Linked DNA regions of Anolis sagrei. The protein of the gene in region 3 purifies or fractionates together with the protein of the main gene of each other region. This does not show direct contact. Links are inferred from orthologs where the notes say so. Each region holds a gene or a part of one and is shown on either strand. Other genes may lie near its edges. The genes, in order: EXOSC7, C1D, MPHOSPH6 and ZFC3H1.

The links.
Region 1: the proteins of MPHOSPH6 (region 3) and EXOSC7 purify together in Homo sapiens (affinity purification with mass spectrometry; 4 studies listed by BioGRID and IntAct, counting the BioPlex papers as one, with this or other methods). This does not show direct contact. The link is inferred for Anolis sagrei from reciprocal best matches to the Homo sapiens genes MPHOSPH6 and EXOSC7.
Region 2: the proteins of MPHOSPH6 (region 3) and C1D purify together in Homo sapiens (co-immunoprecipitation; 3 studies listed by BioGRID and IntAct, counting the BioPlex papers as one, with this or other methods). This does not show direct contact. The link is inferred for Anolis sagrei from reciprocal best matches to the Homo sapiens genes MPHOSPH6 and C1D.
Region 4: the proteins of MPHOSPH6 (region 3) and ZFC3H1 purify together in Homo sapiens (affinity purification with mass spectrometry; 3 studies listed by BioGRID and IntAct, with this or other methods). This does not show direct contact. The link is inferred for Anolis sagrei from reciprocal best matches to the Homo sapiens genes MPHOSPH6 and ZFC3H1.

Annotation. Positions count from the first base shown.
Region 1 is NC_090026.1:77,392,133-77,400,216, reverse strand, and holds the start of EXOSC7 (exosome complex component RRP42), read right to left. Parts: upstream 3,328-8,084; 5' UTR 3,249-3,327; coding exon 3,192-3,248; intron 1-3,191. UniProt on the Homo sapiens protein: Non-catalytic component of the RNA exosome complex which has 3'->5' exoribonuclease activity and participates in a multitude of cellular RNA processing and degradation events.
Region 2 is NC_090021.1:156,521,106-156,528,700, reverse strand, and holds the start of C1D (nuclear nucleic acid-binding protein C1D), read left to right. Parts: upstream 1-4,240; 5' UTR 4,241-4,293; exon of another isoform or gene 4,294-4,341; intron 4,342-7,595. UniProt on the Homo sapiens protein: Plays a role in the recruitment of the RNA exosome complex to pre-rRNA to mediate the 3'-5' end processing of the 5.8S rRNA; this function may include MPHOSPH6.
Region 3 is NC_090028.1:21,294,116-21,302,378, forward strand, and holds the start of MPHOSPH6 (M-phase phosphoprotein 6), read right to left. Parts: upstream 3,205-8,263; 5' UTR 3,112-3,204; coding exon 3,061-3,111; intron 1-3,060. UniProt on the Homo sapiens protein: RNA-binding protein that associates with the RNA exosome complex. Involved in the 3'-processing of the 7S pre-RNA to the mature 5.8S rRNA and play a role in recruiting the RNA exosome complex to pre-rRNA; this function may include C1D.
Region 4 is NC_090025.1:144,272,639-144,280,795, reverse strand, and holds the start of ZFC3H1 (zinc finger C3H1 domain-containing protein), read left to right. Parts: upstream 1-5,092; 5' UTR 5,093-5,267; coding exon 5,268-5,892; intron 5,893-8,157. UniProt on the Homo sapiens protein: Subunit of the trimeric poly(A) tail exosome targeting (PAXT) complex, a complex that directs a subset of long and polyadenylated poly(A) RNAs for exosomal degradation. The RNA exosome is fundamental for the degradation of RNA in eukaryotic nuclei.

The DNA.
Region 1 (8,084 bases), on a different chromosome or scaffold from region 3:
TTTCATGCATATTTTTCAAGAAATTGTGATGCTCAATGTGAAGATAAGAACTGACCTTATCCATAAGCTATGCCTTTGAAACGATTGACAATATCTGAACTTTTTATGTAGATGCCTAAATAAACAAAGACACTAGACCTAAGATCTACAGAGATACTCACAGAAAAACCTAAGAAAGTGGGAGTCCAAAAGTGGCAGGTAAAACTCCAGAACCTCAATCAATGACTGATAACAGATGACAAACTCTCTCCTGGGCACAGAGAAGACTGGGCCACTTGGAAGGAGCTGAATGGACTGTGTTCTGGCACCACAAGATGCAGACCTAAGCTTAAGGAGTGGGGCTACAAAGTGAAGTCCACAACATGTGAGTGTGGAAAAGAGCAAACCACAAACCACGTACTACAATGCAGTCTGAGCCCTGCCACATGCGCAATGGGGGACTTTCTTATAGTGACACCAGAGACACCTGAAGTGGCCAGCTTCTGCTCAAAGGAAATTTAGCATAATGCCAAGTTTTTAACTTTGTGGTTTTTAAAATACATTATAACTGTATTCTTGGGCCCCCTGGTGGCGCAGCGGGCTAAACCGCTGAGCCCCTTCACTTGCTAACCAAAAGGTTGGCAGTTTGAATCTGGGGAGCAGGGTGAGCTCCAACTGTTAGGGCCTGCTTCTGTCAACCTAGCAGTTCAAAAACATGCAAATCTGAGTAGATCAATAGCAGGAAGGTAACGACACTCCATGCAGTCAAGCTGGCTACATGACCTTGGAGGTGTCTATGAACAATGCCGGCTCTTCGGTTTAGAAATGGAGATGAACACCACCCCCCAGAGTTAATGTCAAGTGAAACCTTTACCTTAACTGTATTCTCTATTTGCTTCTGACACGATGTATAAAAAACTAGATCTTGTTTGGTCTTGGAGACTAGTAACGTCAACTCTGCTTAGTACTTGGATGTGAGAACAATAATGAATAATTGAATATCAGGTGCTGTAGGCTATATTACAGAGGAAGAAACTGGGGGAAACCTATCTCCGAGGATTCCTTGCCTAAGAAATTTAAAAGGGTTGCCAGTGAGGCCTGTTCTACACTGTCATATAAAATCCAAATTATCTGCTTTGAACTGGATTATATGACAGTGTAGACCAGGGGTCTTCAAACTAAAGCCTGGGGGCCGGATACGGCCCTCCAAGGTCATTTACCTGGCCCTTGCTCAGAAACTACTTTTTTTTTGTTGTGTCATGAGCGACTTGAGAAACTGAAAGTTGCTTCTGGTGTGAGAGAATTGGCCGTCTGCAAGGACGTTGCCCAGGGGACGCCTGGATGTTTTGATGTTTTACCATCCTTCTCGGAGGCTTCTCTCGTGTCCACGCATGAGGAGCTGGAGCTGATAGAGGGAGCTCATCCACGCTCTCGCTGGATTCGAACCTGTGACCTGTCGGTCTTCAGTCCTGCTGGCACAGGGGTTTAACCCACTGTGCCACCGGGGGCTCCTTGAAAGTACATGACTTGAAAATACACAATAACAATCCTATCTCATCAGCCAAAAACAGGCCCACACTTCCCATTGAAATACTAATACGTTTATATTTGTTAAAATTGTTCTTCATTTTAATAACTGTTTTAAAGTGTTTTTGCACTACAAATAAGATTTTTATTTATCGTGTCAGGGGCAACAAGAACATTGTATTACATTTCTAACAGAACAAAACAAACAAAAAAAACACAGAGTTTGCAAGCTTGGTAGTTGATTAAATGTCCTTTGACCAGTATCTGGCCACTTGGAGTGCCTCTGGTGTTGCCGCAAGGAGGTCCTCCATTGTGCATGTGGCAGGGCTCAGGTTGCATTGCAGCAGGTGGACAGTGGTTTGCTCCTCTCCACACTCGCATGTCGTGGATTCCATTTTGTAGCCCCATTTCTTCCCATTGAAATACTAATACGTTTATATTTGTTAAAATTGTTCTTCATTTTAATAATTGTTTTAAAGTGTTTTTGCACTACAAATAAGATTTTTATTTATTGTGTCAGGGGCAACCAGACCATTGTATTACATTTCTAACAGAACAAAACAAACATCTCGTGGTGCCAGAGCGCAGTCTGTTCAGCGCCTTCCAAGTCGCCCAGTTTTCTGTGTGCCCAGGGGAGAGTCTCTCATGTGGTATCAGCCATTCGTTGCGGTTCTGGGTTTGAGCCTGCCACTTTTGGACTCTTGCTTGCTGAGATATGGACAGTGTGCATAGAAATTCATTCATTTTTTTCCTAATTTTTTCCCTAATTATAATCTGGCCATCCAGGTTTGAGGGACTGTGACCTGGCCCTCTGTTTAAAAAGTTTGAGGACCCCTGGTGTAGACTCATATGTTGTTGTTCATTCGTTCAGTCGTCTCCGACTCTTCGTGACCTCATGGACCAGCCCGCACCAGAGCTCCCTGTCGGCCGTTACCACCCCCAGCTCCCTCAAGGTCAGTCCAGTCACTTCAAGGATGCCATCCATCCATCTTGCCCTTGGTCGGCCCCTCTTCCTTTTGCCTTCCACTTTCCCCAGCATAATTGTCTTCTCTAGGCTTTGCTGTCTCCTCATGATGTTGCCAAAGTACTTCAACTTTGTCTCTAGTATCTTTCCCTCCAGTGAGCAGTCGGGCTTTATTTCCTGGAGGATGGACTGGTTGGATCTTCTCGCAGTCCAAGGCACTCTCAGCACTTTCCTCCAACACCACAGCTCAAAAGCATCTATCTTCCATCTCAGCCTTCCCTAAGGTCCAGCTCTCACATCCGTAAGTTACTAAAGGGAATAACATGGCTTTGACTAGGCGGATCTTTGTTGCCAGTCTGATGTCTCTACTCTTTACTATTTTATCGAGATTGGACATTGCTCTCCTCCCAAGAAGTATGCGTCTTCTGACTCATATAATCCAGTTCAAAGCAGACAATCTGGATTATATGCCAGTGTAGAAGGGACAGGCAGCTTGAAGCACATCAGGAGGGTATGTAGCTCGTTCACAATAGAGAAACACATATAATGGGCTTTAAAAATAAGCATAGGAGTGTGAATACGCAACCAGCAGAGAGGAAAATGCACTCTGCACATGCTCTGACACTTTCAGTTATGAAGCGGCCTGACGGGCAGTCAGTTTAAACGCTGAAGTAGGCGAGGGACGCCTTCCCCGGCCCTGCCTCCTCCCCGCGGCCGTTACCTGGACGCCGTGAACGATATACACTTTCTCCGCTTCGCTCAGCACCACCGAAGCCATGGTGAGGCAAGAGCCAGCCTTCCGCGCAGCCTCAGAACGCCCCCAGTCTGCCCGCCTACTGCTTTCACTGCGCCTTCTAATGACGCAAGGCCCCGAACCCTGTACTCTGCTGGCGCGTGGGCGCGATTTTCCTGCGTCATCGCCCTGAGTGATTCATCCTTACTCCCGCGTTCCAGACAGAGAGGGCTGATCAGAGCTGCGTTGTATGTCGCCTAGGAATTTCCCGCCTCTGCTGCAGTCCTTCCTAGGAAGGGAGTGATGGCACTAGATCAGGCATGGGCAAACTTCGGCCCTCCAGGTGTTTTGGACTTCAACTCCCATAATTCCTAACAGCCCTTACGGGCCTGCAAGCTCAACTTCAACATAAGAAGGGTCCACTCTGTACTGTCTCTCCACATTTGCAGTTTTGACTTTTGCAGATTTGATGACTGGCCGACACTCACTCGGTGCCTCAAATGTTAGTCCTGTTTCTGGGTATATTTGACCTGCTGATTTCAAGAATGGTACTAGTTTCCCCCTATCCATTATAGTGTTTGAGATACAGAACAAATGCCACATGCCAGTCTCCATCTGCTCACCTATAGAAAATCATGATGACAATATCTAAGGAAATAGAGCTGATGTCTATCCATTGCAATTTTCTGAATCAGTACCCTAAATAACCCCAACGAATGTGGAGGGGTGGCTGTATTTCTTGCTTCATGCTCAGAGCCCTTTTGGAAAACCACGTCAAAGAACAATATAAAAATGTACAAAATGCAAAGATGCATACTTTCAGAAATTATACAGACATGATGGTGGCTTACATGCCTTGGTCTCCTTTTTAATAGAATTGTGTTATAAGCAATATATATATAGCATGCATATTGTGCATGAATGAGATGTGAGATTATACTCATGTTTTTTTAAAAGTATACATTTGCCCCCAAAATAAGTCCCACTGTTTTCAAGAGAACTGTCAGTGAAGTATGCAGTAAGATTCTAACTGATTGGCCTGAATGAATGAGTTACAACTAACAACTGGGAAAACTTAATTTGTTCATAATGGCACATGTATATTGTGAATAGGTGTTGTCACTGCTTTGTATGCAGCATCCGTTTTGAGTAGATGTTGTGTATTTTGATGATTCTAGAGTTAGCATTCTAGGATTGTAACAGGTCTGTAAAACTGCTGTAAAACGTTGTCAGATTTAGAGCTCTGTATGAGCATACTAATGACACCCAACTATTCTTTAACATTTTGGTATTATTCTATTCTGAATGAAAAGTAATGCCTCCACCTTCATAACTCCTCAACAGATGGCAGTACGTGTATGCGGCAGATACTGGCTTGTTCAGTAGACTGTCCTCTATAGTTCCATTTTGGCAGGAAGCCTTAGCATTGAACAGTTGTGAGAAGTACGGAACCCTGCGCAGATGGTCAGTCAATGCAACTTAAGCAACATGCAGTCATTGAATTCTTGACAGCAGAAGGTGTCACCCCAATGGAGATTAATCAGAGAATGCAAGCTGTTTATGGTGATTGTGTTGATGTGAGTACTGTGCGTCATTGGGCAAGTAAGTTTAAAGACCTACTGTGCTATTGCACGCTGGGCCTGTGCATAAGACTGTAGACAGGACATAAATTCCGTGTGCCCAACGGGAAACCGGGGCTGCCTCAGATTAAAAGGCCCTTGGATTTCCTTAAAACAGAGTCTTCAGATTGCTTAAAGGTTCAATAAAGTTCTTTATTATTGATGAAAACAAACAGGTACTTCAAGGCTTTCTTAACAGTCTATTGGCTCTCAATCTTGTCCACAGGGAACAGGCAATATCTTCATAAACTGTATTTTAACAAATTGGGAAATCCTTAACTTCTAATCTGGGCAGTCTGTCTTTATCTCTGTTGGCGTGGAACCCCTGCACCCGGTACCAACTGCTTCTGGCTTCCGCGAGTGACCTTTACCAAACAGAGCTTTGTAGACTTCCAGAGGAAAAAGGAGTTCAGGTTTCAGTGATGGCTGGCTGAAGTCTCTCAGCAAAGGAGCTGTAAGCCTGTATGGTCCTCGGCCAAGCTGTGGGCTGTATAACCCCGGCCAAGCTGTAGGCTGTATATCTCCCCAGCCAAGCCATAGAAGACGAAGCTTTCTACAGGAGATCTTGGTATTATGTCCTGCATGGAAAGCTTCTCTGTGTGGACTGAACCCAAAAAGGCTCCTATTCCCTCAAAAACCCAAAAAAGGGGGCAAGACCAGGCAGGCATGTAGCCGGGGGGGGGGGGGGGGGGGGCTTGGGGGGCTTCAGCCCCCTCTCCTGAAATTCTGATGGTGCTCCGCGAGAAGGCCTTACTGGTACATTATTAAAACTGTTATGATTATTCATATCATGATCTGATCACCGTGCTCAATATATCCCATATGCATGGGGGTATTGGGGTAACAATACAAAAGATTTGCTAGGGTAAACCCTCTTTCACTCAGACTCAGCCCCCTCCCCGAACCAAACTCAGCCCCCCCCCCCAAACAAAATCCTGGCTACGGGCCTGAGACCAGGGAACCTAACTATAATTGACAGGTGGCTTGCCCTATGATTGCAGCCAAAATAAGCCACCTATCTGCAGAGTCCCTGAAACTCAGGACTATAACAAACATTAAATGCAAAGCAAACAAAATTGGAGCTCCTGGTGCAGTTGTACCTGCACAACCTACAACAACCTATTAGTAAGTTGGTTCTCAACTGTTTCAAAAAACACTTTTCTTCTTCTATGATGTTGATTATTATTATTATTATTGTAAAATTCCAGCTCCTAGAACTTCCTAGCAATGAGGCATGGTGGTCAAAGCGGTGCCCCGTTGCATTCATTCCACATTTCTCCTTCTCACTCAACTTTGCCTCCTGCTTTGTTTGCGTCCGCGAGGGAAGTAATAGTAACCAGGAAGGGTTGGTTTCACGTCGGGTTACGTCACGTGGGGGCGCGCAGCCAATCGGAGCGAGCCAGGAGCCGCGCCATGATAGCAACAATGCGGTTGCTGCAGAAGCCAGCCAGAGTGAAGGGAGGGAGGGGGAGCCCGGAAGTGAGCGACGCCGACGGTGGCCCCGCCCCCTGGCCTCGCCTCCCTCAGCGTGGCTCACTTCCGGGCTTCCTCCCCCTCAGTGTAGAACGCGAATGAGGCGGCAGTCAGAGTGAAAGGGAAGAGCCAAGCCTTCGCCGCCTCCCTCCCTCCCTCCGGGCGGGCGGGCTCTCCCCGGCTGGGCGGATGGAACGCCGCGCTGGGAGGTGGAAGGTCGACCCTGGCAGGGAAGCGCGGGCCCCTGGCGGAGTGGAGGCGGCCTCCTCGGCGGCGGCAGAGCGCGTGGTGCTTCCTTCACGGCAGTCTGGGTAAGGTTTCCGCGCGCGCCTCTTCCTGGAAGGGAGGGGAGGGAGGAGGAGGAGGAGGGAGAAGCAAGGGCTCCCTTCACCCCTTTCTTGATCTGCTGTGGAATCCTCGGGGTTGTGTCTTGACAGGGTCTCTCTCCATAGCCTCTCCTACTCACGAGGGCTGGTGCCTCACCACATTACAGCAACCCAGGATGCTATGGCAGTTGGAAGTGGAGTCACACCGCATTCATTCTACCGTGTAGATTCCTGGCACACGCCCACAAGGGGGCAATTTCATTTCTAAGCCAATTTAGAAATGAGTTACTAACAGTTAATTTCTTCAGTTCTTGTGGGTTTTTTCGGGCTATATGGCCATGTTCTAGAGGCATTTCTCCTGACGTTTCGCCTGCATCTATGGCAAGCTTCCTCAGAGGGTGCCTTGCCTTTCTTACCGTTCTAGAGGCCTCATCCACAGTGTGTATATGTGTGTGTGTATGCATATATCTATATAAATAAAAATGTAATGCTCGTTTGTGGGATTAACATAACCCAAACCATAACCACTGGACGAATTGACACGAAATTTGGACACAAGACACCTATCAGGCCAACAAGTGTCCCATCACCCATAAACACACACACACACACACACACACAAAACCCCAGCGGAACAGACTTAAAAACCCAAAAAATACACCATATATACATACATTCATATATTTATTCATTTACTTCGCTTGTATACTGCTCTTCTCAGCCCTTAGCCGACTCAGCGGTTAACAACAATTCCAATATACACAGTAGAAAATCATTGGACATTTAAAAGCAAAGCGATTAAACATCAAACATCAATACATCAATTTAGCAAATCCATCACGTCTCATCAATAAAATCAGAATCCAGTCTCCATATCCATTTTCCGTGTTCCAATAATCAGTTGCACTGCCTAGTTGAATGCCTGTTCGAACAGCCAGGTCTTCACTCTCCTCCGGAATGCCAGTAGGGAGGGGGCCGATCTAATATCCATAGGAAGGGCGTTCCACAGCCGAGAGGCCACCACTGAGAAGGCCCTGTCTCTTGTCCCCGCCAGGTGTTCAACATGCACACACTCATAGACACACAAATACACACATACATATATACATGCACACATATACATATCCACATGCATACATATATAGACACAAATATGCATATAGACAAGCACACACATATACACAATATGCATGTACACATATAAATACACAAATATATACACACACATATATAGACACACATATATACACAAATATATACACACATGCACAATATGCATGTACACTTATAAACAAACAAATACATAAATATATACACACATATATACACCCACATATATTTATGCAAACACACATATATACACAGATATATATATATGCACACACAAAACACATATACACAGACTGGGCCACAGCAACGTGTGGCAGGGGACAGATTGTGTGTGTGTGTGTGTGTATATATAT
Region 2 (7,595 bases), on a different chromosome or scaffold from region 3:
GATTTCCCTGCTTTTTGAGTCTTGATCTTTATTTACTGTTCTGATTTTAGAGTGTTTTAATGCTCTAAAATCAGAACAGTAAATAAATAAAATGACATTCTGGCTAGTTTTTGATTAATTTTCTTGTGTATCAGTTCACTTCTCAATCTGTGGGTCTTGATCTCAAATTATATATATATATATATATATATATATATATATATATATATATATTTATATACCGCCCTATTTTCCACATATGCAAAATAATACAAAAACATACTATATAAATCAAAAACATAGACATAAACTGTTAACACAACATATACATTAAAATCAATTTAAAACCAGTTACGCTCTCTTCTTCATGGAAGGTAAGCTGCCAGGGGCCTGGACTATTAGCTCAATGTTGGGATCATGAGAAATTTGGTGACAATAAAAGGCTTCTGAACCATCCATTTAGACAAATCCGTTAGCAGCAACACAAAATATTTACAGTGGACTGTACTCCACAAAAAGAAAAACCTGCCAGTTTAGCAAGCCTTGCAAATGCTGACTTATCAGTTAATGTTTGATTTTTATACTTATTTTATATACTTTTATACTTGGGGTCATGTAAAAATTTATTGGGTGAAAAGAAATCACGAGTGAAAAAAGTTTTTTAAAAAGAGCTCAGTGACAGAACTAATCAAACTCTTAAATCAAGGTATCACTGTACAGGCAACTTCTTTTGATTTGTGCTAAGTCTCATTATCTCATTGTTGATCTTCCTCTCTTTCCTGCTTTTTTAAAAAAGAAAAAAAGAGAGAAAATGCTTTAATCAGAAAGCACCGTATAATCATTGGGGGGAAAAAATAACCCTAAAGCAAAATTGTGCTTATTTTATTCTGTTTACTTTTGCATTTAAATTTTGATGAGAAACACTCTTTCATAAAAGGGGTGGAGAGAGGTCATTGGGAGATAGAGGATCTTTCTAATCTAATTAAACCAAGAGGAAATACAGTCATTCGACTCAAAAGTTAAAAGGAGGTCATGAAGGCAGGCAGTTTTCTGCACTCTTTGATTATAGTGCAGTATTATATAGATATTGTCTGCAAAATAGAAATGTTAGCCTCTCAGTGTGGCATGCAGATCCTCTCCCTTTCTGATCATCACATGTTAAACTACTGTGTCATTTTCTCTTCTCTCGTCTTCCTTCTCAGTATTTGGTACTGAGAAGTACCTGGCACTGAGAAGCTGTGTGTAATGATCTGTACACACAAACTTCGTGTGTTGCTCTTTTCTTGGAAAAGTCACTGTTTTGGACTGCAGCTCCAGAATCCACAAGCAGGCATCCCAAACTAAAGTTCCCAAGTTCTGGTTTTGGATGGTATTATTCTAGCAACTAGTCTCACAATTAGTCTCACTATTCATTCAACCAGAGACACGCTACCCTTAGCTGTAGCTGCTTTTGAAAGCATGGAGAAATATATTTAGATGTCATCAGCATATGTTAGAGACCCTAAATTGGGTCTTCTTAGGTCCACATCATGGGAACACGTAAGGAAGGAGACAGTCCCCAAAAAAGATCAAAAAACAAGGTTTATTTTAGTTTCTTCATGAAGAAGACGGACAGCCTGGCAGCATACGCAGATGCCACCCTTCAAGTGACTGCCACGCTCCCTTGGCTTTTGTACACCGTTATATAACCTCAAGTAAACAAGAACATGTTTTTTGGTCATGGAAAGTATTCTCTTTCTAGCCCCTCTCCCTTGACCTTTTGATGGAAAGTACCTTCTTGTACCTGCAAACACTGTGCTTAACCACAACCTTTGGCTTAACCACAACACAACTACTGCCTATGTAGGTTTGAACTTTGTATGAACTCTACATGTCACATCTTGTTTCTTAAAAACATTTTCTTCCGTGTTGCTCTTTTTCTACAGAGAAACGGTATATTTCTCTTTTGCTGTTAATTTCATGCAAAGCCCCTTGCTTAGCATTTGGAAATTTTGCTCAAAGACCCTTTCACATACAGATAACACCCTGTCACATGCCCATGGATGATTTCTCTCAACAGTTTCATGTAAATATCAAAAAGCATTGGGGATAGAATGGCACCTTGTTGGATGCCACATAAAAGCGCCTTTTTTGAGGAGCAACTATCCCAAGCACCACTATCTGGAACTTGTCTGAGAGGCATGAGTGGAACCACTGCAGCACTGTGCCTCCGATTTATTTATCGTATCAGAAGTGAACCAAGGGTACAGTTGTACTAAAAGGTAAAGGTTTTGCCCTGACATTAAGTCCAGTCATGTCCGGCTCTGGGGGTTGGTGGTCATCTCCATTTCTAAACCAAAGAGCTAGTGTTGTCTGTAGAAACCTCCAAGATCATGTGGCCGGCATGACTGCATGGAGCGCCGTTATGTTCCCGCCAAAGTGGTACTTATTGATCTATTCACATTCGCAAGTTTTCGAACTGCTAGGTTGACAGAAGCTGGAACTAGCAGTGGGAGCTCACGTCGCTCCCCGGATTCGAACCTGCAACCTTTCAGACAGAAAGTTCAGTAGCTCAGTGTGCCACCCACTGTGCCACCAGGGGCTCCATTTAATACGGTTGTAATGTATTTAAAAAAATAAGTTTAAAAACTTGGCATTATATTAAATGCTTGTTGACCAGTAGCTGTCCACTTGGGAGTGCCTCTGGCATTGCTGTAAGGAGGTCCTCCATTGTGCATGTGCCTCCAATACCTTATAACATGACAAATGGGAGAAAACAAGTGACAAAAATTATCAGAGAACATTATCTGCCATTTATGAATAAAAACATCTGCAATCAAGATGGCATCAGTCTTAGTGGGACCCAAGAAATAACACCAGGGTCTATCACACTAGAGCTGAAAGAGTAGGACAAGTGGATGCATGCCTCCACAACCTTGTGGTTGCCTTCTTCCTACAGAATTCTGGGGTTTGTAGTTTAGTGAGATCCAGGGCCTTCAAATGCTCTCTGGCTGAGCATTTTAAGGCCTCCTCTCTAAACTACAAGTCCCAGAATCCTTCAGAAGGCAGCCACAGGGTTCAGAAGGCATCCCCCCACAGATGGGATGCAGCCTCTTTGCCTATTTCTCCATTATCCAGCGGATATTGGCAATCTGGTCTCTCGTTCCTCTGCCTTTTCTGAACCCAGTTTGTACATCTGGCAACTCTCTCTCCATGTACTTCTGGAGTCTTCCTTGCAGGATCTTGAGCATTACCTTACTGGCATGAGAAATAAGGGCCACTGTATGGAAGTTTGAGCAGTCTTTCGCATTTCCCTTTTTTGGTAGAATCATAGAGTTGGAAGAGACCTCATGGGCCATCCAGTCCAACCCCCTGCCAAGAAGCAGGAATATTGCATTCAAATCACCCGACAGATGGCCATCCAGCCTCTGTTTAAAAGCTTCCAAAGAAGGAGCCTCCACCACACTCCGGGGCAGAGAGTTCCACTGCTGAACGGCTCTCACAGTCAGGAAGTTCTTCCTCGTGTTCAGATGGAATCTCCTCTCTTGTAGTTTGAAGCCATTGTTCTGCGTCCTAGTCTCCAGGGAAGCAGAAAACAAGCTTGCTCCCTCCTCCCTGTGGCTTCCTCTCACATATTTATACATGGCTATCATATCTCCTCTCATCCTTCTCTTCTTCAGGCTAAACATGCCCAGCTCCTTAAGCCGCTCCTCATAGGGCTTGTTCTCCAGACCCTTGATCATTTTAGTCGCCCTCCTCTGGACACATTCCAGCTTGTCAATATCTCTCTTGAATTGTGGTGTCCAGAATTGGACACAATATTCCAGGTGTGGTCTAACCAAAGCGGAATAGAGGGGTAGCATTACTTCCCTAGATGTAGACACTATGCTTCTATTGATGCAGGCCAAAATCCCATTGGCTTTTTCACACGTACTGCTCCCAAGCCAGGCATTGTCCCCCATTCTGTATCTTTGCATTTCGTTTTTTCCTGCCAAAGTGGAGTATCTTGCATTTGTCACTGTTGAACTTCGTTTTGTTAGTTTTGGGGATATAAGTTGATTTTTTCCAGTCTGATGGCCATTCTTGAAGAGAACCATAGGCTTGGTTATAGATAGGATTGGAACCCTTTCTCCCATTTGAAGGCCTTCCCTTGAACCCAAACCCCTCAGACACGGTGGAGAAAGCGCCAAGGGAAAGGAATGGACAACAATAGGCCTTCCTGTCTGCTGAGGCCCTGCGAGGAAGGAAGCGCCTCCGCGTACGTCATTCTGGCCACGCCCCTTACGTTAGCCACGCCCCCTCACGTTCGCTCTCCTCCACGCCACCGGAAGGAAGGTAGGAAGCCTCTGGGCAGAAAGGAAGGAAGGAAGAGAGAGGGCGCAGGTTAGTTGATGCTTCTCTCTTTTGGATGGGTCTCTGGGGGGAGAAAGCCTTGTTGGGGTCCCAGCTCTTCAGCGACACCGCCCAGCAAGGCAGGCGGGTTATTATTGCTGAATGATCGTCCATCTATTCTGAATGAGCCACTTTTAAATATAAAAACAAAACAGAAACGCAATCCCCTCCATGGTTTCATTGTAACTATGCTGCCATACAAAATCCAGATTATCTACTTTGAACTGGATTAAAAGACAGTGTAGACTCAGATAATCTACATTGCTTTGAACTGGAGTATCTTCTTTATTAATCTGGATTATATGACCTTCCACATGGATGTATAAAATCCAAATTAAACTGAATTATATGGCAGTGTGGATTCAAGGTTCTTCCATGTTGTTGTTCATTCATTCAGTCACTTCCGACTCTTTGTGACCTCATGGACCAGTCCACGCCAGAGCTCCCTGTCAGTCGTCACTTCCCCCAGCTCCTTCAAGATCAGTCCAGTCACTTCAAGGATATCATCCAACCATCTTAGAATCATAGAATCATAGAATTAAAGACTTGGAAGAGACCTCATGGGCCATCCAGTCCAACCCCCTGCCAAGAAGCAGGAATATTGCATTCAAATCACCCCTGACAGATGGCCATCCAGCCTCTGCTTAAAAGCCTCCAAAGAAGGAGCCTCCACCACACTCTGAGGCAGAGAGTTCCAATGCTGAACGGCTCTCACAGTCAGGAAGTTCTTCCTAATGTTCAGATGGAATCTCCTCTCTTGTAGTTTGAAGCCATTGTTCCGCGTCCTAGTCTCCAAGGAAACAGAAAACAAGCTTGCTCCCTCCTCCCTGTGGCTTCCTCTCACATATTTATACATGGCTATCATATCTCCTCTCAGCCTTCTCTTCTTCAGGCCCTTGGTTGGCCCCTCTTCCTTTTTCCTTCCACTTTCCCCAGCATAACTGTCTTCTCTAAGCTTTCCTTCTCATGATGTGGCAGTGTGGATTCAAGGTTCTTCCATACAGCCATATAACTCAAAATATCAAGGCAGACAATGGCAGTGTAGAAGGGGCCTTAATCCTAGGAAAGGGAGCAGAGGATAGATGGCAGGAAGACCCTGCAGGGAGTATATCTCCACTAGAGAATGAATGTATGTTCAGAGGAAGAAGAATAAAATAAAATAAGTAACCTTTAATAACAAGGAGAAAGACATTGATATTTTAGCAGATTTGCCCACAATTCATTCCATTTTCTCATCACAGCTATGCTGAATGAAAGAACTAGCCTGATTGACTTTACAGTTGCAAGGCTACTTAATGCTAATCAAGCTTGCCAATTGCAACATTCACACTTGCTTCAAACAGAAAAGAGTTATTTCTCCCCACTCCCAGACAGTCCACAGATATATACACACTCCACTTGCCTAATTTCCAACAGACCTCTGAACAAATCTCTGAGCGTGCCAGCCACAGATGGAGGTGAAACGGCAGAAAATGCTGCTGAAACATGGCCATACAGCCCGAAAAACTCAAAGCAAGCCAACTGCATTGGAGCTTCAGTGGTCCAATTTTGCAAGATCATGTGGGGGTGTCAGCACTCGCTTGCTTAGTCTTGGGGGAGGGAGCTTGAACCCCCTCTCCCCATATGGTCCATCTAATGCCTCCTAGAAACCCTTTATCAAGATGTAGGGCCCTTCCACACAGCCATATAACCCAGAATATGAAGGCAAAAAATCCTACAATATTTTCCTTCAACTGGGTTACCTGAATCGACACTGCCGTATATACCAGTTCAAAGCAGAAAATGTGGGGTTTTATTTAGCTGTGTGGAAGGGACTGTAGTGTATTTTGCAAGAACGAAGGGAAAGCTCAGCTCTTTGTTTTTTCCCCAGGATTAAAAATAATAATTTTAAAAAGATGCTCGATCAGGCCATCTCATCCAGTGTTCTATTATGATAACAACTTACTAGGGGCCCTTTCACACAGCCATATAACCCAAAATATCAAGGCAGAAAATCCCACAATATCTGCTTTGAACTGAATTATCTTGAGTCCATATAGTCATATATCCCAGTTCAAATTTATTTATTTATTTATTTGGAGATTTTATATACTGACTCTCTCACCTTCAAAGAGGGATTTGGACCGGTTCACAACATGTGTTAACATACAAAAAATATACAATAACAACACAATGCCACTTCATTATACGATTAAAATGTCAGCACCATACACATTAAAACATTATCATCGCAGTTAAAAGAGCAGATATCAAAGCAGATAACTTGGGATTTTATTCAGCTATGTGGAAGGGGCCATGGTATCTCTTCTAGAAAGTCAACAGAGAAGGCTTGGAAACAGCTGTGCTCCCTTTTACCCTCCCTGGCATTAAGTCTTTATCTCAAAGTGGAGATCCCATTTGGCTGTGGAGTTGGATTCAGGATAGCAGAAAAGATTTCTGTTTACCCAAAAGAGGTTTGTTTGTTTGTCCTGAATATATTGGACTAAAATGCTCAAATGAACATACCCAGTGTAGATAGAAGTGACCATATGGTTCTGGGAATCTGGAAATTATAGTAGGAGAAAGGAATTGTCTAAATTTTGCTGGTTTTAGCTGGTTTTTACTATCAGACGATTGCTAGAAAAGGTTTCAAAGGAAGGTCTTTGAGACATGGGATACCATACACAGTGATCTGAGGTTGCTAACTGGGTATGTACAGTTCATGTCAGTCACCTTCAGTTCCATCTCCCAAGGCTCCTCTTTAAACTATATGAAAATGTATCAGATGTTGGACCCCACAATAACAAGAACAACACATTTTAATTCTTACCACCTCTCCCCAAGGCTTCCCACAAGATAAGATTTTTGCAAAGTCTATTGTATTGATCTGTTTTACACAGATGTGATGCCATACATTTCTGAATTGCATGCTATAATGTTCTGCACAGTTGCACGACAGTATAATTTTTACGTTGAGTTTTGGTGGATTGAGAAATATACTCATTCTGACCTTGCTTTTGTATTTCTTGGTATTCTAGAAGTTGATGAGACATTACCTGTCTGATAATTGACAGACATAATGGTAATTCACTGAAATAAAAGGAAACTAGATGTAGAGAGGTCTGGAGTCATTTTCAAGGATAGCTAATCCCCTGGAAAAACTAGTTTAGAGGACAACCTTGAAAGGGAAAAAGCTATATAAATAAAATTTACAGGGAATAGTGTGGTGTAGTGGTTAAAGTGTTGAACAGAAGCTGGGAAGAAAC
Region 3 (8,263 bases):
CAAATGAAGATCCTGAACAAGTGGGATTTACTTCCAAGCAAAGACAGCGAGCCTTCGCCCTCAATCACAAAGAACTGCTTTCAATCCTCGGGTTTGGAGAGGAAATGGACGGAAAAGAGAGAAAGGAGCATTTTGCTCTGCATGTGCCTCAAAGGCGCCGCATCCTGAAAGATGGAGATACAAAGAGAATGGCGCTAATGCAAAACCGGAGCAAACAAACCATGAAGGCCCGACGATATTGAGTTATACATATTTAATGAATATTTATATTTTAAAAAATTAATGGCAATCTCGACTCAGATGTTGTTCTCTGAGAAAACGGAGCGATCATCAATCTCGCCACTGCGTTCTTCCACTGAGTGATGTGTTACATTATAGGACAGGAACGGAGTCCATTAACCGCCGAGCCGAGACTAATTCCACTTTGGGCTCAGCACCGGATTTGCAAATCCAAGGGCAATGGTGAGGTCAGGGCTCTTGTTAATATCTCTCGCTGGACCATCTCCACGTGACTACGCTGATGGGTTGGAGCAGAGAGGGAGAAATTAAATGAGACGAGGAAACCACAAGTAACATTAGCACATTGGCAGGTCCTGCCATTGGAAGTGGAGGCAAAACTTGGCCAAAATAAGAACGACCTTTAGTTCCAATTAAAACAAGGACGACCTTTGGTCTGAAGTAAACATCTTAAGCTAAAATGTAAAGGAAGAGGAGAATTTGATTGTGCTGGTAAGAAGTATGTCCCATGAGGAACATGATGATGATGATGAAAAAGGATGACCCAAACAATTACCGTCCAGTCAGCCTCACGTCGATACCAGGCAAGATTCTGGAAAAGATTGTTAAGGAAGTGGTCTGCAAACACTTAGAAACAAATGCGGTCATCGCTAATAGTCAACATGGATTTATCAAAAACAAGTCATGCCAGACTAATCTGATCTCTTTTTTCGATAGAGTTACAAGCTGGATAGATGCGGGGAATGCTGTGGATGTAGCGTACCTGGATTTCAGTAAGGCCTTCAACAAGGTCCCCCATGACCTTCTGGCAAACAAACTAGTCCAATGTGGGCTAGGCAAAACTACAGTGAGGTGGATCTGTAATTGGTTAAATGGACGAACCCAAAGGGTGCTCACCAATGCTTCCTCTTCATCCTGGAAAGAAGTGACAAGTGGAGTGCCATCAGCAGGGTTCTGTCCTGGGCCCGGTCCTGTTCAACATCTTTATTAATGACTTAGATGAAGGGCTAGAAGGCAGGATCATCAAGTTTGCAGACGACACCAAATTGGGAGGGATAGCCAATACTCTGGTGCCCCCGGTGGTGCAGTGGGTTAAAGCACTGAGCTGCTGAGCTTGTTGATCGAAAGGTCGCAGGTTTGATTCCGGGGAGCGGCGTGAGCTTCCGCTGTCAGCCCTAGCTTCTGCCAACCTAGCAGTTCGAAAACATGCAAATGTGAGTAGATCAATAGGTACCGCTCCGGCGGGAAGGTAACGGCGCTCCATGCAGTCATGCTGGCCACAAGACCTTGGAGGTGTCTACGGACAACGCTGGCTCTTCGGCTTAGAAATGGAGATGAGCACCGCACCCCAGAGCCAGACATGACTGGACTTAATGTCAGGGGACTACCTTTACCTTTACCTTAGCCAATACTCTAGAGGACAGGAGCAGGATTCAAAACGATCTTGACAGATTAGAGAGATGGGCCAAAACTAACAAAATGAAGTTCAACAGGAACCAATGCAAGGTACTCCACTTAGGCAGGAAAAACGAAATGCAAAGATACAGAATGGGGGACAATGCCTGGCTTGAGAGCAGTACGTGTGAAAAAGATCTTGGAGTCCTCGTGGACAACAAGTTAAACATGAGCCAACAATGTGATGCGGCGGCAAAAAAAGCCAATGGGATTTTGGCCTGCATCAATAGGAGCATAGTGTCTAGATCTAGGGAAGTCATGCTACCCCTCTATTCTGCTTTGGTTAGACCACACCTGGAATATTGTGTCCAATTCTGGGCACCACAATTCAAGAGAGATATTGACAAGCTGGAATGTGTCCAGAGGAGGGCAACTAAAATGATCAAGGGTCTGGAGAACAAGCCCTATGAGGAGCGGCTTAAGGAGCTGGGCATGTTTAGCCTGAAGAAGAGAAGGCTGAGAGCAGATATGATAGCCATGTATAAATATGTGAGAGGAAGCCACAGGGAGGAGGGAGCAAGCTTGTTTTCTGCTTCCCTGGAGACTAGGACGCGGAACAATGGCTTCAAACTACAAGAAAGGAGAGTCCATCTGAACACGAGGAAGAACTTCCTGACTGTGAGAGCTGTTCAGCAGTGGAACTCTCTGCCCCGGAGTGTGGTGGAGGCTCCTTCTTTGGAAGCTTTTAAACAGAGACTGGATGGCCATCTGTCAGGGGTGATTTGAATGCAATATTCCTGCTTCTTGGCAGGGGGTTGGACTGGATGGCCCATGAGGTCTCTTCCAACTCTTTGATTCTATTATTCTATGTCTGTTTTTATGATTCTATGTCTGTTTCTGGCGTGGGCTGGTCCATGAGGTCACAAAGAGTCGGAGACGACTGAACGAATGAACAACAACACAACTCCCAAATTACAAAATCAATCCTCCCCCAACCTTACTAGCATTCACATTTGGGTGTATTGGGTATTTGTGGCCAGTTTGGTCCAGTGAATGAAAATGCACCCTGCATATCTGATATTTACATTATGATTTATAACAGTAGTAAAATGATTGTTACGAAGTAGCATTGAAAACAATATTATGGTTGGGGGTCACCACAACATGAGGGACTGTATTAAGGGGTCACGGCATTAGGAAGGTTGAGAACCACTGATGTAGGGCTTTAAGTGGGAGGGGCCTAGCGACTCTTCCCGAGACCACTCGGCTCCTCTCCCCGCACCTCGCCTCCTGCGGCCGAAGGGCTTCGGAAGTGGGAGGGGCTAGCCGACGCTTGCCGAAGCCGCTCGGGAAGAGCCGCCTAGACCCCGCCCACTCCCGAAAGGGCCATGAAACCGGTTCTTTCTCCCCCTCCCGCCGCCCCATTACCTTCATGCGGAGAAGGTTTTTGGACAGTTTGCTCTTCACGTCGCGAGCCATGGCCGAAAGAAGGTGTGGAGGGCCCGCCTGGACTCGTCACGTGGCGGCGCGGCGTCTCTTCAGACTCGCCTTCGCCTCTCTTGCGACTGCGCATGCCCGGGGTGCGTCAATCGTACGCATGCTCAGTTACAGGCAGTGAAGCTGCTCTTCCGGCCCTTTCAGAACCTGGCAGGGAGCATGCGCATAAGCTTTAACTAGACATGCCCTACACTGCTGGATTAATGCACTTTGACTGCCGTGACTCAAGGATTGTGGGAGTTAAAAAACTCAAAAATGACAACAGCAAAACAGCAGAGAGGAAACAACCAAGCACAGCTTCACACCTCTCAACAAAAGATTCTCCCTTCAATTGCTAATGAAGGTGGTCAGTTGAAACATTCTCACCCAGCTCCAGCAGAGAAGAGCTCTTTGCCCCACCCCAGTCATTCCACAGATATATTAACCCATTGTCCTAGTTCCAAACAGACCTCACTACCTCTGAGGATGCTTGCCATAGATGCTGGTGAAACGTCAGGAGAAAATGCCTCTAGAATATGGCCATATAGCCCAAAAAAACCCCACAAGAACCTATTGATTCCAGCCATGAATGCCTTCGACAATACATTGTGGGAGTTGTAGCTTTACAGGCCTTTTAGCCTTCGCTACCACAGAGTGCTGGTGGCTCACCAAACTCCAAATCCCAAGATTCCTTGGCATTGAGTCCAGGCAGCAAAACTACAAGGTATTGTCGAAGGCTTTCATGGCCGGAATCACTGGGTTGTTGTAGAGGCATGTTCTAGAGGCATTTTCTCCTGACGTTTCGCCTGCATCTATGGCAAGCATCCTCAGAGGTAGTGAGGTCTGTTGGAAGTAGGAAAATGGGTTTATATATCTGTGGAAATACCAGGGTGAGACAAAGGACTTTTGTCTGCTGGAGCTAGGTGTGAATGTTTCAACTGACCACCTTGATTAGCATTTAATGGCTTGGAAGTGCCTGGGGGGAATCTTTTGTTGAGAGTGATTTGATTTGCCTGATTGTTTACTCTGTTTACTTGTTTTGCTGTTGCAATTTTTGAGTTTTTTAATACTGGTGGCCAGATTTTGTTCATTTTCATGGTTTCTTCCTTTCTGTTGAAATTGTCCACATGCTTGTGGATTTCAATGGCTTCTCTGTGTAGTCTGGCATGGTGGTTGTTGGAGTGGTCCAGCATTTCTGTGTTCTCAAATAATCTGCTGTGTCCAGGTTGGTTCATCAGGTGCTCTGCTATGGCTGATTTCTCTGGTTGGAGTAGTCTGCAGTGCCTTTCATGTTCCTTGATTCGTGTTTGGGCATTGCTGCGTTTGGTGGTCCCTATGTAGACTTGTCCACAGCTGCATGGTATACGGTAGACTCCTGCAGAGGTGAGAGGATCCTTCTTGTCCTTTGCTGAACGTAGCATTTGTTGAATTTTCTTGGTGGGTCTGTAGATAGTTTGTATGTTGTGTTTCCTCATCAGCTTCCCTATGCGGTCAGTGGTTCCCTTGATGTATGGCAAGAACACTTTTCCTCTGGGTGGATCTTAATTGTTATTCTCTGTACACCCAATTGTTGATCTGGTTTGCGGATGACTAGGACATCTTGAAAAGGCAGTCTTCCTTCATAGACTTCATTGTCCCACTGAAAGTAGCTGATGGTGAGGCAATGGTGAAACAATGAATTCTACGAACAGAAAGATGGAGTAGCTATGGGGAGCCCTCTCAGCCCGGTCATAGCTAATTTCTACATGGAACACTTTGAAAAACAAGCCCTGGAGACAGCAACAAAAAAGCCCACGATATGGTTCAGATATGTGGATGACACTTTCACCATTTGGAGCCACGGAGAAGAAGAACTCAACAGGTTCCTGGACCATCTGAACAGCATCCACCCAAATATCCAATTCACTATAGAAAAAGAAAATGAAAGAAGACTGTCTTTTCTAGATGTCCTAGTCATCCGCAAACCAGATCAACAATTGGGTCACACCGTCCACAGAAAACCCACACACACAGATAGATATCTACATAAAAACTCCAACCATCACCCAAGTCAAAAAAGAAGCACCATTAAAGCCTTGGTAGACCGTGCAAAAAGAATCTGCGAACCCCACCTCCTCCAAGATGAACTGAACCACCTCAACTGCGCTCTCCAGGCCAATGGAGACTCCACCTCAGACATCAGAAGAGCTGCAAGACCAAGAACAAGCCATGAGAGTAAAGATGAAGATCCACCCAGAGGAAAAGTGTTCTTGCCATACATCAAGGGAACCATTGACCGCATAGGGAAGCCGATGAGAAAACACAACATACAAACTATACCTATTGAAATGCCTTAAAGGCACAGGTTCTCTCTCTAGTTCTCTCTCTCCAGTTCTCTCTCTGGCAAAGTTACCAATACTCATTCCCTTCTTTTCCAAACCAAGTTTGCCAACTTATAGTACAGTGGTTCTCAACCTTCCTAATGCCGCGACCCCATAATATATTACTAATAATATTACAGTATAATTGATATAGTGCAATATAGCAATATTTAAAACTGATATTGTACTATGTTAATAATATATTGTATGTATATATACCTTGTAAGCCGCTCTGAGTCCCCTTCGGGGTGAGAAGGGCGGCATATAAATGTCATAAATAAATAAATAAATAAATAAATAATACAGTTCCTCATGTGGTGACCCCCAACAATAAAATTATTTTTGTTGCTACTTCATAACTGTATTTTTGCTACTGTTATGAATCGTAGTGTTAATATCTAATATGCAGAATGTATTTTCATTCCCAGGACCAAATTTGACACAAATACCCGATACCCCCAAATTTGAATATTGGGGGTAGGCGAGTGGGTTATTTTGTCACTTGGGAGTTGTGGTTGCTGGGATTTATAGTTCACCTAAAATCAAAGAGCATTCTGAACTCCGCAAACGATAGAGTTGAACCAAACTTGGAACACAGAGCTCCCATGACCAAGAGAAATTACTGGAAGGGTTTGGTGGACATTGATCTTGAGTTTTGGAGTTGTAGTTCACCTACATCCAAAGAACACTGTGGACTCAAACAATGATGGAGCTGGATCAAAATTGGCATGAATGCTCAATAATGTGAACACTAGTGGCGTTTGGGGAAAAGAGACTTGACATTTGGGAGTTGTAGTTCCTCGGATTTACAGTCCACCTCCAATCAAAGTGCATTCTGAAACCCACCAATGATAAAATTGGACCAAACTTCCCACACAGAACCCCCATGACCAACAAAAAATACTGTGTTTTCTGATGGTCTTTGGCGACCCCTCAGACACCCCCTCACAACCCCCCCAGGGGTCCCGACCCCCAGGTTGAGAAACACTGCTATAGAAGGACTTAGAATCATAGAATCATAGAGTTGGAAGAGACCTCATGGGCCATCCAGTCCAACCCCCTGCCAAGAAGCAGGAATATTGCATTCAAAGCACCCCTGACAGATGGCCATCCAGCCTCTGTTTAAAAATCTCCAAAGAAGGAGCCTCCACCACACTCCGGGGCAGAGACTTCCATTGCTGAACAGCTCTCACAGTCAGGAAGTTCTTCCTAAAGTTCAGATGGAATCTCCTTTCCTGTAGTTTCAAGCCATTATTCTGTGTCCTAGTCTCCAGGGCAGCAGAAAACAAGCTTGCTCCCTCATCCCTGTGACTTCCTCTCTCATATTTATTCATGGCTATCATATCTCCTCTCAGCCTTCTCTTCTTCAGGCTAAACGTGCCCAGCTCTTTAAGCCGCTCTTCATAGGGCTGGTTCTCCAGACCCTTGATCATTTTAGTCGCCCTCCTCTGGACACATTCCAGTTTGTCAACATCTCTCTTCAATTGTGGTGCCCAGAATTGGACACAAGCGCAACTTGAGCCATTTCGCAAAGCACGGATAAATCCGAACCAGTGCAAAGAGGGAAACATCACAGTCTATTTGTTAAGCACCGAAACAAGTGTGATCCGGCTGGAAGGGTACAGTTTCCTGCAATTTCTGAGGCCAACCCAAGGCTCCCCTGGCTTTAATAAACATTGATGCTGCAGGCTTTTTGCAGAGTGATTGATTCCCAACGTTTATGGGTTATTTTAGGCAGTCGGGATTTTTCTCTCTTCCTATCCAAAGGGAAAGGTGCAGATTGATTAAACTGTCATTTCTTCCTTTCTTTTTCAGATTTAGTTGCTGAAATATAACCTGGTATTTTTAACAGCGCAATCTGTTTAAAGAGACAGCTTCTCCATAAAGCAAAGCCAGGTTTTTTATTGTTCAAGCAGAAAACCAAAAAGAAATGAGCCAACAATGTGATGTGGCGGCAAAAAAAGCCAATGGGATTTTAGCCTGCATCAATAGGAGCATAGTGTCTAGATCTAGGGAAGTAATGCTACCCCTCTATTCTGTTTTGGTTAGACCACATCTGGATTATTGTGTCCAGTTCTGGGCACCACAATTCAAGAGAGATATTGACAAGCTGGAATGTGTCCAGAGGAGAGCAACTAAAATGATAAAAGGTCTGGAGAACAAGCCCTATGAGGAGCGGCTTAAGGAGCTGGGCATGTTTAGCCTGAAGAAGAGAAGACTGAGAGGGGATATGATAGCCATGTATAAATATGTGAGAGGAAGCCACAGGGAGGAGGGAGCAAGCTTGTTTTCTGCTTCCCTGGAGACTAGGACGCGGAACAATGGCTTCAAACTACAAGAGAGGAGATTCCATCTGAACATGAGGAAGAACTTCCTGACTGTGAGAGCCGTTCAGCAGTGGAACTCTCTGCCCCAGAGTGTGGTGGAGGCTCCTTCTTTGGAAGCTTTTAAACAGAGGCTGGATGGCCATCTGTCAGGGGTGATTTGAATGCAATATTCCTGCTTCTTGGCAGGGGGTTGGACTGGATGGCCCATGTGGTCTCTTCCAACTCTTTGGTTCTATGATTCTATGATTCTAAATGGAGCTGCCTCGAGTGCACTCCATTACGGGGAGAAATCGCTCCTGAAAATGAAAGAAGCGCCCAGTTGACCTAAAGGGAAGTTCTCTTTGGAGGACACACCTTCCTGAATCCCATCCCATCGCTGTCATGGTCTCCTTTACTAGGCTCCTGGCTGTTGCTAAAAATGATATTATGGTGTTTCTTTCCAACTAGAGTAGAACCATTGAATTAGTT
Region 4 (8,157 bases), on a different chromosome or scaffold from region 3:
TGCCATTTAGCCACCCACCCCCCTTTTAATCCACTTCCTCTTGAGTTTTAATGCATGTGTAGAAGGGTCCATAGACTATAAATTGACAACTGAAATTTGCAATGATTTTCAAGCTGAATGGCATGATCTTCATGGCATAGACCAGGGGTCCTCAAACTTTTTAAACAGAGGGCCAGATCACAGTCCCTCAAACTGTTGGAGGGCCGGATTATAATTTGAATAAAACATGAATGAATTCCTATGCACACTGCACATATCTTATTTGTAGTGCAAAAAAACCCTTAAAAACAATACAATAATTGAAATGAAGAACAATTTAAAATGTATAAATTTATTAGTATTTCAATGGGAAGTGTTGGCCTGCTTTTGGCTGATGAGATAAGGATGTTGTTGTGTCCTTTCAAGTCATTTCAGACTGAGGTTGACCCTGAGCGAGGGCTGGGTAAATGACCTTGGAGGGCCGCATCTGGCCCCTGGGCCTTAGTTTGAGGACCCCTGGCATAGACTGTATAGAGATAGAAAGAATATTAGAAAATACTTTTACCAGTGGTTACCAGGGGAGTGTTGATGTTAGGCAACCATGATGAGAATCCTATGTGGTGAAAATAATCACAGTTGAGGACTTATTTTTGCACACCAGAAATACATGTGGGCTTTTGCACATAAAACAATTATGCACAGAAAATACCATGCAATTTGTGTGCGTTTGTGTAATTTATTTTGCACAGAATGAATCTCAAACTATGATTAGTTTTCAAAACTGTGCAGTTCTCAATTCTTTTGCCACAACACTAAGAAAATGGTAACATTATTTATTCTTGTAACAATGAAGATTTATATCCCTAGTGCTAATAAACTGTTGTCCCTCTGCAAAGGTGATGGGAAGAAATGCAACATAAACAAAAAATCCAGCTACAAATGTAACTATCTGAAAAGTTAGAAACCACATTTTGCTTGTTTTAGCTAAAGGCATAGGTTTGCAATGAACATAAGCCCCTTATAGAGCTTGCCTTGGAACAAAAGTGTATAGGAAAAGTATGTATCAGTTTATGGTTGTATTAAATCTTTTCCAAAGTAATTAAGATCTAAAGAGAGAGGGGGCCCATTTAAACTGACCATATAATGCAGTTCAATTTGCATTACAATAGCAGTGTAGATGGGTCCAGAACTGAACCTAGATAAATTAGTTCTAGACTAGCAGGGCAATTGGTTGACCAATTGGTAGAGAAAGTGCTGCAGGTTTTAAATAAAATAATATGGTTATTATGAACTAGAAATATTTATCTGCATCTTTATAGAAGACCGTGATTACCCTCCCCTTCAACTCTAAAATCTAATGTTGGAAGTGATTACAAAAAGCCAGCATGCTATAGTAGTTTGAGTGTTGGACTATGACTCTGGAGACCAGAATTCAAAATCCACTGCTAGTCCATGAAAACCCACTAAAGAAACACCATCTGAAGAAATCTTACCAAGAAAACATGTCAATTCAGGAATAGTTTGGGTAAAGTAGGCCTTACTACATAACAAATATTAATTGGAGAATATTGCGCGTAGAGAAAACCTGTGTACTATATCTACATATGTGGACTCTAGCAAGGAAAGCCTAGGTCTCTATAACAAGCCTATACAGTTCTAAACAAATTTAAGTCCTTTGAGAAATTTAAGTCCACAAGAGCCATGTTTAAATATGTGAAAGAATGCCACACTGAAGAGGAGGTAAGCTTGTTTTCTGCTGTTCTGGAAACTAGGACACAGAGCAACTGATTCCATTTGCTGTGGGAGAAAATACATCTAAAGATTAGGAAGAACCTCCTGATGGGAACCTTTGAGGCTTGAGATGTTAGACTGCAACTACTAGTATTCCTCATTGTTGGCTGCGCAGGCAAGGATTGCTGGAAGTTGCAGTCTAACAGCATCTGTCTAAGCTTTTTAAAGCCTAGACTGGATGTCCATCTGTCAAGGGTGCTTTTATTGTGTGTTCCTGCATGACAGGGGGTTAGACTATATGGTCCTGGAGTCTCTTACAACCCAATAATAATAATAATAATAATAATAATAATAATAATAATAATAATATACACTGCCACAAATACCATCTTCCTGTGACAAAGAATGGGTGGTATCACAAGCCTGAAAAAGTTTCAGAAAGTCAAACTACTCTGGGACTTCTGAATTCAGACTGCCAGAGTTTTAGAGCACAATACTCCTGACCTCACGATCGTGTTAAAAAACAAAGTATGGATCGTCAATGTTGCAATCCCAGGCGACAGCAGGATTGAAGAGAAACAACTGGAAAAGCTGACACGATATGAGGGTTTAAAGATTGAACTGCAAAGACTTTGGCACAAGTTAATAAATTGGTCCCAGTGTTGATCGGCACACTCGGTGCAGTGTCTAAAGACCTTGGCCTGCATTTAAAAACAATTGGCGCTGACAACATTACCATCTGTCAGCTGCAAGAGCCCACTCTACTCGGATCTGCACGCATTATTTGCTGATACATCAAATAGTCCTAGACACCTGGGAAGTGTCCAACGTGTGATCAATACAAAAGCCAGCATAGTGATTTTGTTTGCTGTGAACTAATCTTTTTGTATATCAAATAATAATAATAATAATAATAATAATAATAATAATAATACACTTTATTTATATCCCACCCTTCTCCCCTAGGGGACTTGGAGTGGATTACAGCATTTACATACATAGGCAAACATTCAGTGCCTTCTTTACAATCATATACAATGAGACATACAAACACAAACCAAGGCAGAGGCTTCTCCTTTCATTTCCGGCTTCTGGAGGCAGTGATCATCTCTGGCTCTGGGGAGGTACTTTTCTCCATTTTCAATCTGAGGAGCTTGAAAATGAGAATTGTCCTGGTTGTGTAACTGGCAAGATTGTTTGGAGCGTCTCTTTGCCTTTTTCTGCCAAAGCAGTACCTTTTTATCTACTCACATTTGCATTTTTTCAGACTGCTAGGTTGGCAGAATCTGGAGCTGACAGACAGGAGCTCACCCCGTCTCATGGATTTGAACTGCCAACCTTCAGGTCAGCAGTTCAGCAGCACAAGGGTTTAACCCATTGCACCACCACAGAGTCCAATTATATGAATAATAATGCCAGTAGGAAAACTGAGGTTGAAAACAGTCACGGCTGTGACTAGCAGTGATGGGAGGCTGCGAACACACATGCAACATGATAAACAAAGCTTTGAAGTTGACCAAGCCACAAGATGCCTGGCAAAAAATGGACTCAAAGGGCACAGAGTCTAGAAATTGTGAGTTTTTCCTTTTTCCATCCACTGAAATGACCCCTTGAGTCAAGACTGCTTTTGTAATGAAGCCCTATCACTTCCCTTACTTATGTTATTATTAGGGACTAGCTGTCCCCTGCCACGCGTTGCTGTGGCCCAGTCTGTTGATCTGGAAAATAAAGTAATGAGAAAGTGTTGGCTCCTAATATATGTAATTTCTTGATGCTTGTGGGTAAACAGTATTTCTTGTTGTTTCTTTGTCAGAGTTGATGTGGAGATTGTGTGGTTTGCCTACTCTGGAAAATGCAACATAGAATTGTCCTTCTTTAGGGGTCCCTTTCAAATCTATGATACTATATCTGTGGTGTGTGTGTGAATCTTATCTATCTATCTATCTATCTATCTATATCTATGGCTGGCTGGCTCTTTGTCAGGAGGATTACGTTTTCTTGCCCCAGGGAGGAGGGAGCAAGCTTGTTTTCTGCTTCCTTGGAGACTAGGACACGGAACAATGGCTTCAAACTACAAGAGAGGAGATTCCATCTGAACATGAGGAAGAACTTCCTGACTGTGAGAGCCGTTCAGCAGTGGAACTCTCTGCCCCAGAGTGTGGTGGAGGCTCCTTCTTTGGAAGCTTTTAAACAGAGGCTAGATGGCCATCTGTCAGGGGTGATTTGAATGCAATATTCCTGCTTCTTGGCAGGGGGTTGGACTGGATGGCCTTAAGTATTTTCTTTTGGTCATGGGGGTTCTGTATGGGAAGATTGCCCCAATTCTGTCGTTTGTGAGTTCCAGAATCCTCTTTAATTGTAGATGAACTGTGAATCCCAGTAACTACAAATCCCAAATTTCAAGGTCTATTTCCCCCAAACTCCATCTGTGTTCATATTTGGGCATATTGAATGCTTGTGCCAAGTTTGGTCCAGATCCATCACTGTTTGAGTCCACAGTGTTCTCTGGATGTAGGTGAACTACAACTCCCAAACTCGAAAGTCAATGCCCACCAAACCCTTTCAGTGTTTTCTGTTGGTCATGGGAGAACTGTGTGCCAAGTTTGGTTCAATTCCATCATTGGTGGAATTCAGAATGCTCTTTGATTGTAGGTGAACTATAAATCCCAGCAACTGCCACTCCCAAATGACAAAATCATTTTTTAAAGTGATGGTCACTCCTTGAGTTAGTAGGTGTCTTGTGGTCAAATTTGGCAGCAATTCGTCAAGTGGTATGTCAGTTATGTTAATCCCACAAATGAAAATTACATTTTTATTTATATAGTTTGGACCTGTAGATACCAAAATGTGTGGCTACTCAAGTCTCATTATATAGCTGCCTTGGATGTTGCTCTGGGAATCTTGTTTGAAATGCTTATTTGTCAAAATGTGCATTTTAGTTATGTTTTGCTTAGTCTATAGTAGGCTTGGGCAAACTTGGGCCCTCCAGGTGTTTTGGACTCCAACTCCCACAATTCCTAGCGGCCTCAGGCCCTTTCCTTTTCCCCGAAAAGGAAAGGGCCTGAGGCCGCTAGGAATTGTGGGAGTTGGAGTCCAAAACACCTGGAGGGCCCAAGTTTGATTTGTACTAATGTTTCACTATTATTTGATGTTGATGTTTAATATGTTGTTATCTGTTCTACGGTTGTTATTGCTCTTGTCGGCCTCGCTTGTATTGTTTGACAAGCGAGCGACCTCTTATGAACCCACTACAGCGGAGTGCGGAGGAACTACACTTCCCGTCATGCCCCTGGGCGCCCCTCGCCTTTATGCTGTTTCTTTCCCCCCGCTTTCGATTCTCTGAGGAAAGAAAGGGGGGGGGGGGGGGGAGAAAGAGGAGCCGAAGCCAAGTCTCGCGAGAGCCGCGAAAGGCGAAGCTGCAGGGTGTTGGTGGCAGCGGTGAGTTGGCCGTCGCTCAACTTCGAGGGGTCTCTGAGGGGAAAGGCCCCGGATTGGAGGAGCGCCGTCCTGGCAAGCGGGCGGCCGCCTTGTTGGGGCCTAGTCAGGCGAGGCGGCTAATGGCGGCTCCGGCGGCTGAGGAGAAGACAGTGGCGGAGGCGGCTGAGGCGGCACCGCCGAAGGACCTTTCGCCGAAGGAGGAAGGCGAGCTGGAGGACGGAGAAATCAGCGACGGCGACGACGACAACAACAGCAGCAGCGGCGGGCCCACCGAGCCCAGAGGCAGAGATGACGGCGCGAAAGGCCCCTACGCCCGGCGCAGGCCTCCTCCGGACCTACGGGGCTCCCCCTTCCTCTCCTCGTCGTCCCGCCGCTTCGCCCACCTCCGCCACCGGCCTCCTCCCGAACTGGGCCACCTCCACGGCCGAGGCGGAGGTGGCGGAGGAGGAGGCTACCGCCCCAAGGAGGCCTTCCGCCCCCACCCGCAACCGCCGCCGCCCTCCTCCGCTTCCTCCTCGGCCTCCTGCTCGCGGCTGCCGCCCGGCCCTCACCCGCACCCCGACGCCGGACCCCGGCTCTCCTTCTGGGAGCGCAGCCACAACGCGCTGGACCGGTTCCGCTTCCGAGGCAGGGCCTACCGGGGCGGGGGCCGCTGGGGCAGGAGCCGAGGGCCCTGCCTCCCTGGAAGGCCCCCCGGAGGAGGAGGAGGGGGATACGGCTGGAGGGAACCCTCGCCTCGGAAATGTATCCTTCGCACAGAGTCACTCGCCTTTGCTCCTCTAGCTTCTGGGCACTTCAACGCTAACAGCCAGGGATTCTGGGATCTGAATCCCAGAACAATGCTTAAACCTTGGGCCCAGGCCCCAACCCCCTACCCCTTAGCTCAATGTTTGCTCCTCTAGCTTCTGGGCACTTCAATGCCCAGAAGCCCGAGCCAGCCTGGCTAACAGCCAGGGATTCTGGGATCTGAAGCCCAGAACACTGCTTCTTAAACCTTGGGCCCAGGCCCCAACCCCTTAGCTCAATGTTGGAAGCACCAAAGGTTCTTCCAGGGCCTTTCCACCCAGCCCATAATAGCAAGGCAGAAAATCCTACATTACCTAAGTGTGGACTCAAATAATCCAGTTCAAAGCAGATATTGTGGGATTTTCTGCCTTGATATTCTGGGATATAGGGCTGTGTGGAAGGGCCCCCCAGACAGGCCCTATATGCCAGGTTATGATCCCAGGCTTTCTGTTTATCCCAGGGCACTTCCACACAGCCCTATATCCCAGAATAGCAAGGCAGAAAATCCCACAGTATCTGCTTTGAACTGGATCATCTGAGTCCACACTTAGTTTGCAATTTTCTGCCTTGGATAATCTGGGATATAGGGCTGTGTGGAAGGGCCCCCAGACAGGCCCCATATGCCAGGATATGATCCCAGGCTTTCTGTTTATCCCGGGGCCCTTCCATACAGCCCTGTATCCCAGAAAATCAAGGCAGGAAATCCCTCAATATCTGCTTTGAACTGGATTATCTGAGTCCACACTCAGATAGTTTGGGATTTTCTGCCTTGGATATTCTGGGATGTAGGACTTTGTGGAAGGTCCCCAGGGCTCACTTCTTCACTCAGCCATGGAAATCCATTGAGTAACTATGAGCAAGTTGCTTTCTCTCAGGGCCCTTCCAGACACGGCTGTCTTCCTGGTTTTCCATTTTAAACTGGATTATATGAGGGCTTTGCGGAAAGGCCCCTTGATTCTCTGGCAGTGCAGACTCGGGGCCCTTCCAGACAGCACTTATATCCCAGGATCTAATCCCAGGCTTTCTATTTAGCCCAAATTCTCTGGCAGTGCAGACTTGGGGCCCTTCCAGATAGACCCATCCCAGGCTTTCTGTTTATCCCAGATTCTCCAGCAGTGCAGACTTGGGACCCTCCCAGACAGACCCTGTATCCCAGGATATGATCCCAGGTTTTCTGTTTTTCCCAGATTCTCTGGCAGTGGGGATTCATATAATCTCGTTTAATGCAGAAAAGCTGCAGTCAAATCCTGGGATATAGGGCCAGTCTGGAAGGGCCTCTAGTGTCTGTTTCAGACATTTACGCAAATCAGTTGTGCAGTGGGCTCTGCACAAGATGCTTCTGTTGTACTCCATAAAAAGGGAAATCAGTCTGTGTTGCTGTGAGTTTTCTAGCCTATATGGCCATGTTCCAGAGGATTCTCAGACCCCTTCCACACAGCTGAATAACATTTCACATTTTATGCTTTGAACTGGAATATATGGCATATATGGAATATATACACTTTCGGTCCAACCTATCTTCAAGACCATATCTCTTTCTATGAACTATCGTGGGCATTAATATCTGCTGGGGAGGCCCTTCTCTCAGTCCCATCACCATCTCAAGCATGGTTGGTGGGGATGAAAGAGAGGGCCTTCTCAGTGGTGGTTCCCCAGCTCTGGAATACCTTCCCTAAAGAAATTAGATTAGCCCCCACTCTTCAGACCTTCCGAGTGAGTCTAAAAACATGGCTCTTCAGATAGGCCTTTGATCCTGAGCAGTCCATGGCCAACATGATGAATCATGATAGTGCTGGTCTGCACTTTGACTGATTGTTATGGCAGATAGTCAGCCCGCAGGTTCCACTGCATTTTAGGAACGTTATAATTTTCATATTTTTATAATTTTACCAGTGAGATTTTATGTGCTGTTGTTTATGCTTATGCCATTGTTTTTAAACTGCATGTGGCACTTCTGTGCGAAGCCCCGAGTCCCTTTGGGGAGATGGTGGGCGGGGTACAAGTAAAGTTTTGTTGTTGTTTTGTTGTTGTTGCTGTTGTTATTATAACCCAGTTCAAAGCAGATATTGTGGGATTTTCTTCCTTGATGGTCTGGGTTATATGGCTTTGTGGAAGGGCCCTCTGTCTTCTGTTTAGCAAGCCATGCAAGTGCTGATCGGTTATCAGGAAATGTTTGATTTTTATACCTAATTTCTATACTTTTGTCATGAAAAAAAATGGGGA